Cricetulus griseus: one gene and its partner. The protein of the gene in region 2 interacts with the protein of the main gene of each other region in a pairwise test. Links are inferred from orthologs where the notes say so. Each region holds a gene or a part of one and is shown on either strand. Other genes may lie near its edges.

Region 1 (3,654 bases), on a different chromosome or scaffold from region 2:
AGGTCTCCTCCCCTCTAGGTTCAAAGAGCGTGTGCTACAGACCCCAAATGACCTTCTGGCTGCTGGCTTTGAGGAACACAAGTTCAGAAACTTCTTTAATGCTGTGAGTTCACCTGAGCCATACTGGCCTTCCACAAGGGCAGAGCAGACAGGAGCAGGCAGGCTGGAGGTCTTCGATCCACCCACAGCTGTGCAGCTTTGTTCTTAGTCCTCCCACCTGGGGCTGGGGCAAGGCCATTCCCTGCTGCTTGGGGGTATATGGGTCAAGGGGACCTCAGTTTGGAGGACTGTCAGCATCGTTCTGCCATTCTGAATATATGGTAGAAGGAGACTCAATGCCAGGCCCCTAGATGTGCCTCGGAGCCTCAACACTAAGACTTGCAATCTCAAAATGAGCTCTGAGGAAGTCGTGTGTGGGGTGGGGTGTGGGGGACAGGTGCTTGCTGGGGTCTATTCTGATGGTGGCAGCGTGAAGTTTTACAGTGTGGTAGAGCTGGTAGAGAAGGACAGCTCGGTGTCCAGCCTGCTGAAGGTGTTCAATGACCAGTGCTGCTCGGACCGGATCGTGCAGTTCTTGCGCCTGCTCACATCGGCCTTCATCAGGAACCGAGCTGACTTCTTCCGACATTTCATTGATGAGGAGATGGACATCAAAGACTTCTGCACTCATGTATGTCCCTAGGGTCGTCCTGTAGCCCCTGGCCTAGGCTTTGCTTGTCTGTCTCTTACACATCCCAGGACCACTGTTTCTGCCCAGAGGAACATCCTTGCAATGTCAGCTAGCAAGGTTAGCACCTGGAGGCATCTTCCATGAGTGGCCTGAGCGCCGAGGCTTGAGCAAGCAGCTTGTATTCCCAGGGAATCGCCTATCTGGAATCTCAGGACTGCTCTGCTGATAAGCAGCTGAGTGGCAGCTCCTGTCATGCTAACCCTAAGATGGGCTTTTGTTTAGATAATATTTATCTGAAGGAGTGGCCCACATGTAAGGAAGTGGACAATTATGGCTACTTGGATTTTTTTTTTTTTTAATTAGGAGGTACTGGGCCCTAAGTTGGACGGCGACTACCAGTAGGCACAAGAACAGCTGCCCTCTTTGGGGTACCTGCCACCATCTCTGCCTCTCTGTTGTCTCTACAGCAGCAGGACTCACACACAGGCTCTGGCCACTGCCAAGCACTTATACTTGGAAGCCTTTGATGACAAGGTCCTCTTAGTTCTAAGTTCTGATGCTAGCCTAAAAGATTCCTCCCCTTTTGCACATTCCTTAAAGGGTATGGAATAAAAATGGCTCAGGTTTGCGGCACACCTTTAATCCCAGCACTCGAGAGGCAGAGGCAGGCAGATCTCTATGAGTTCGAGGCCAGCCTGGTCTCCAGAGCGAGTGCCAGGATAGGCTCCAAAGCTACACAGAGAAACCCTGTCTCGAAAAACCAAAAAAAAAAAAAATAGGTTCAGGTTCATTTTCTGCAAGCCCTGTAGTCTCTGTGTTGCTTCCATGACAGATGGTTATCAGCACCTGCGCTCACATGTGCTTGGGAAGAACCCCCCCACCCCACCCCCAGCACAGGAGACCATGATCCTGAGAGCCAGGGTTTCACTCACCCTCCCCGCGCCCCTCCTAAGTGTTTCATTTTGGCATTGCAGGAAGTGGAGCCCATGGCCATGGAGTGTGACCACGTCCAGATCACAGCTCTGTCGCAGGCACTGAACATTGCTCTGCAGGTGGAGTATGTGGATGAGATGGACACAGCTCTGAACCACCACGTGTTCCCTGAGGCTGCCACCCCTTCCGTTTATCTGCTCTATAAAACATCCCACTACAACATCCTTTATGCAGCCGAAAAACACTAATTTTAGGCCATGCCGGAGCCTGTCATCTAATGGACTGCATTCTGAATGGAACATTCTGCCTTGGCAATTTTTTAATTGATTTAGACAACTAGAAACATACAGCCTTTTGGGTAAAGCCACTGAACTGAGACCTGTGCCCACTATGGACTGTCATGACTTAATAGGAATTTTAGTATTTATTTTGATAGATGATGTAATGCCTGCTAACTCTGGACCAGAAAGCCAGGAACCCTATGTATCCGTTTACTGTAAGAACCTCGTTGGACCTATTTATTTATCTGGAAGAGGTTCCTGGCAGTGTTGACATGCCGCTGTGTAAAAATGGGGAAATCCGGTTTATCCTTAACAGGGACAGTAGCCTTCATAGGGGGGGAAAAAAAAAAAAAAAAAACTCAGGTCAGCTGTCAAATTCAGGTGACTCACCAGACCTATGAAGAGTCCAGCCCTGCTATGTATGTTGGGTGTGTAATGGTAGACAACTGTCTGAATGTGAGGGGCTTGTGTGGAGTTTCCTTCATGATGGCTGTGCTTTCCCATCCATTGGGGGGTGGGGGGAGAGGGAGTGGGGGAGAGAAAACATGAGAGACTTTTATACCAAAGTCAGAAAAGGGTTTTAGCCTTCAGCATGAAGCTCAGGTTGTGAAGTCCTTCTGCCTCAGGGCCACAGCTCTTGACTTTGAAGACAGGCCCTTCAGAGTTTGGCTGTCAGCCCCACTTGGATAAGGCTTGACAAAGCCGAGGGCTTGTACCTGAGTCAGTGTTTATGTCTGGGACTGGGGAGCTGCATCTGCCCGCCCATCATCTCCAGTGAATTCTAGAAGTAGGGTCTAGGTAGTCAGCTGGGTAGGGGTGTGTACAGCCTGGAAACAGGAAGAGCAGAGCACAGGGTCTGCAAGGCTCTTCAGTTTTCCCCAGCCCAACTTTGTAGGCAGCTAGGCATAAAAGAACAGACAAGCCATACAAGTTGGCAGCAGGGACGGTCCCAATGCTGGCAGCAGCCTCTTCGTCTGCACATGCCCCTTAACAGCCCCTTACTCGCCTTGCTGCCACCCGAGGACACTGGGGGACAATCAGCCTCCAGCTGGCCTGAGGCACTAACTAGCCATGCCTTCCTCTGTAGGACAGCCATGGAACCACCCACTAGTACCCTTCCTTGGGTGCAAGGTTCCCTCTCAATGTTTCATTCTGCAGGGCTTAAGACTTGTGGTGCTACAGTGAGGGTCTGCCAACAGTCTGCACACAGGACCAGAAGGATCCAAGTCTTAAATCTCACATCTGTATCTTTTCTTCTGCTTGGTGTAAGCCAAAAACTCCCAGATGTCTGGGCAGTGTGGAAACCAAGGCCAACATTTAGATCCAAGGGCCCCAGCTACTGAGTCTGTCACTGACACAGAGTATATAAATCTGACCTTCATCTTTTGTTAAGTGTCCCACCCTGATCTGGGTAAGAGTGTTTGTGACTATGACAAGTACCCTGGAAGAGCAGGCACTTATTTCCGTGACTATCTTCAGCCAGACTATTCTTCACTTCCAAGCTGAATGTATGAACATAGGATGCCTGCCTGGGCTGCTCCAAGGAGTTCAGATGGGTCTGGGAACAGGACAATGGGAACTTGGGAACATGCTAAAACCTGGCTGACCACAGCGATTTACTGGCTAGGCTACAGCAACAAATCATGCTAGCACGCCCACTTTCTGAGTGACTCCTGCACCCCTACAGCCACCTCTTTCTACACAAAACCCTGAAAATGCAGGTGCTTTAAGAGATCATCTTTGCAAATGCGTGTATATGCCTCACTTTCC
Region 2 (3,654 bases):
AAATGATTTGGTTTAAACAAATGATAACATCTTTAAATTGAATAAAAATGTGTTTTACATTTTATCAAACAACCTTTTTTTTTCTTTTTTCAAAATAAGATGTTGCCATTTTGAATTACAACCAAGTTTAAGACAATTTATGTGGAATTTGGAAAGGGTTTTTTTTTTAAATTAGTTTTCATTATTGTACACAATGGACTAAAAGTCTGCTTTGGAATAGGGTGTTAGGCCTTTAACCTATTTTATTGAATAGAAGTTTATATAAAGACAGAAGTTTGATATTTTTAAAAACTATCTGTTACAGGAACAAAATTGATTCTCTTAGTTACTTTTATAACAAACAATTCTGGCATTTTTATTAGTTCATACATTGATGTTTTTTCTCTTTCTTACAGTCACCCCAAGCAGGCACAAAAGACAAGACACTCTGTTGCTGGTTCTGCGCCTCAGGCCCAATATCCTTAAGTGCCAAAATCGAGAGGAAGGGCTACACCCCAGGTATGGATGCGGTTGGTGCCTACAAAAAGCAGTTTTCTTTATTAAGCATCTTGTATAAACTTGGCATTGTTACCGAATATAAACCCTCAGCATTCCTTACTTCGTAAAGCTGTGTAGGTTGTACAGATGGATCCCTTTTCTTTTCACAAATTATAGTCTCCTTTTTTGTGTAGTCAGGGTGAGTGAGCAGGTCATCTTTATAACAGTGAGTTATCCTTGCTCACTTCCAGGATAGCTTTTCCTCCATGGAGTTAGTTGAGCTTCAGAAGTCTACACCAGATACCAGTGTGTGCCTTTTTGTTTTCTAATAGTGAGTAACTGTTTTCCCTCTACAGGTGAATCAATACAGATATTTGCTGAGATTGAGAACTGCTCTTCCCGAATGGTAGTGCCAAAGGCAGCCATTTACCAAACACAGGCCTTCTATGCCAAAGGGAAAATGAAGGAAGTAAAACAGCTTGTGGCAAACTTACGTGGGGAGTCACTATCATCTGGGAAGACAGAGACATGGAATGGCAAGCTACTAAAAATTCCACCAGTTTCCCCCTCCATCCTTGACTGTAGTATAATCCGTGTGGAGTATTCACTAATGGTAGGTGTTCCTGTAAGAAGTTCTTATCACTTTTTCTTGAATCTGTGGGGTCCTTATTTTGACTTATTGATGCTTGGTAGACTGTAGATGTGTGTACAAAACATTGCATTATTACCTCACATAAACTAGGGCATTGCATATAAAAGAGAAGTTCTCTAGAAACTAAACGGGATCCCAGCTAATATCAAAATTAGGTTGTGTTTTTAAAAAAAATTCTGCTTAAATGCTGACTTCAACATCTGCTTACTGTTTAGGTATATGTGGATATTCCTGGAGCTATGGATTTGTTTCTTAATTTGCCACTTGTCATCGGTACCATTCCTCTTCATCCATTCGGTAGCAGAACCTCAAGTGTGAGCAGTCAGTGTAGCATGAACATGAACTGGCTCGGCCTATCCCTTCCTGAAAGACCTGAAGGTAATTTGATAATACATGTCTAAACTTACTCTATTATTAGTAGTAAGACTTTTTTCTTTTGTTTTTAATATTTTACAACCCTAGTTAAATTTTTATCTTTCTTCAGTTAGCATATGTAACCTTAATATTGTTTTGTTGTTTGTCCTGCTTGTTTTAATCACCAAACAAATAATTATTCTTTTACATGACATTTTTTTAATATCTACTATTCTGTGTATTTTGACATGCATAAGAACATGTTGTTCGAATTGCGTGTATCTTTTTCCTTCAGCACCACCCAGCTATGCAGAAGTAGTAACTGAGGAACAAAGACGAAATAATCTCGCCCCAGGGAATGCTTGCGATGGTTTTGAAAGAGCTCTTCAGGGACCACTGTTTGCATATATCCAGGAGTTTCGGTTCTTGCCTCCACCTCTTTATTCAGAGGTAAGTACCAAGTCAAGGATGAAATGTGCTGGGTCTCCTAGGAAACAGCAGTGCAAGCTTTTAAAAAAGATACAGGCTTTTAAAAGGTAGTCGTTTCTTAGTTAAGCTGATGATAAACATTTAGAACACCAGTTTAAAAGTTAGAATTGTCAGATCTTCTGACTTCATTCAGGAAATAAGGTGATGGCCAAACTTCGGTTGAATCATTAGCATTTTTTAATAAATGAGTTTATTTTAAAGTATCAGTAGAAAACTGGTATTTTGTAAGCATAATTAAATAGCTAGAATTTATATTGATCATAATCCTTTTCCAATCTAATTCTTTCATTTTTAACATTCTTAGTTATAGGAGAAAATAGCATATTTCCAAATAGCTTTTTAAGCCGGCGGTGGTGCACGCCTTTAATCTCAGCACTTGGGAGGCAGAGGCAGCAGGAGTATCTCTTGTTAGTTCGAAGCCAGCCTGGTTTACAGAGCAAGTTCCAGGACAGACAGGGCTACACAGAGAAACCCTGTCTCAAAAAAACCCAACAACAACAAAAAGAAAAAACAGACAGACCAAATAACTTCTTAAACAGCATTGTACACTCCTAGATTATTCTGCACTTTATATTAATGACACCAACACACATGTGAATAAGATGAGTACTTGCATTGGAAAAACTCACAGACTAGTGAGAAAAATTAACTTAGAAGGGAAAACCAGCCAGCGTCAACCTTGTTAGGAAACACCACTCATCTGATGAATCAATTATTGGGTCTTAGAAATCAGAAGGGCTTCTCTGAGAAGCTGAATTTTCAACAATAAGTAGCCCCTATACCTACAGTATAGGTTGGAAGAGCAGCCCAGCTGAAAGACAAGAAGGGGCTGTTTCTCTGTTGTACCTACACAGAGAAACCCGCCCTAGATGTAATTATGTAGAATCATCTTCATTAATTGTAGAGTACTCAGAATCTTTTCTTGCAAATTTTTGATTAGACATTTTTCCTGTCTTAGGATGGTTCATAAAAACACATGACTGAAAACCATTTTCCACAAATTTTATTACTTTTTTTTTTATTCTGACATTTCTTACTGTGTTCTGGCTTAATTTGAATGTTCATAGCTTTCAAGGGGGCATTTGAAAAGAATGATAATTAGAATTCACTTTAATTTGTCCTAAATTCTACACATTTCAAGATGAATATAATATAATTTCAACATTGTACAACCCTAAACTCTGGAATATGATTTAAATAAAAGGTAATTGGCTTTTTTCTTCAAAATGCATTTGGCATAAAAACTTCTGAGGTGATGTGGGTTATCTCATACTTAAAGTGAGCAGGACTTGTCCAGACAGATCTTTGAGTTAACCTTCACAGGACCCTTAGAAATGTTGTTCACAGAACCTAGGGAAGTGATGCAGTGACATTTTAGGACAAGAACAAAAGATACTTTACAAAGGAGTTGAGTGGTTTGATGGTGTACCCTAGTATATAACTGATTTTTAAGAACCCCAATGTTGAGTGAAAATACCCTTCCTAGTAACTTTGGTGAAATTGAACTATTCATGCATAACTATAAATCATATTGGTAACCTAACACCCTTTCATTCAAACATAACATGATCTTCAGATAGAGAGCATTATATTAGGGTGTAATCTGCTAAGCAGTCTTATGTATGCTCTGATAATATTGGTTACCTTTGCAGACTCAAAAGCAGTCATATACCAAATTAACT

What was found.
Region 1: the proteins of Arrdc3 (region 2) and Otub2 interact in binary tests that used the Homo sapiens proteins (3 or more experiments, as listed by UniProt). The two-hybrid records come from large-scale screens. The link is inferred for Cricetulus griseus from reciprocal best matches to the Homo sapiens genes ARRDC3 and OTUB2.

What each region holds. Positions count from the first base shown.
Region 1 is NC_048598.1:102,678,249-102,681,902, reverse strand, and holds part of Otub2 (ubiquitin thioesterase OTUB2), read left to right. Parts: intron 1-18; coding exon 19-103; intron 104-475; coding exon 476-670; intron 671-1,644; coding exon 1,645-1,851; 3' UTR 1,852-3,654. UniProt on the Homo sapiens protein: Hydrolase that can remove conjugated ubiquitin from proteins in vitro and may therefore play an important regulatory role at the level of protein turnover by preventing degradation.
Region 2 is NC_048595.1:301,361,143-301,364,796, forward strand, and holds part of Arrdc3 (arrestin domain-containing protein 3), read left to right. Parts: intron 1-395; coding exon 396-498; intron 499-833; coding exon 834-1,090; intron 1,091-1,344; coding exon 1,345-1,507; intron 1,508-1,740; coding exon of another isoform or gene 1,741-1,778; coding exon 1,779-1,933; intron 1,934-3,654. UniProt on the Homo sapiens protein: Adapter protein that plays a role in regulating cell-surface expression of adrenergic receptors and probably also other G protein-coupled receptors.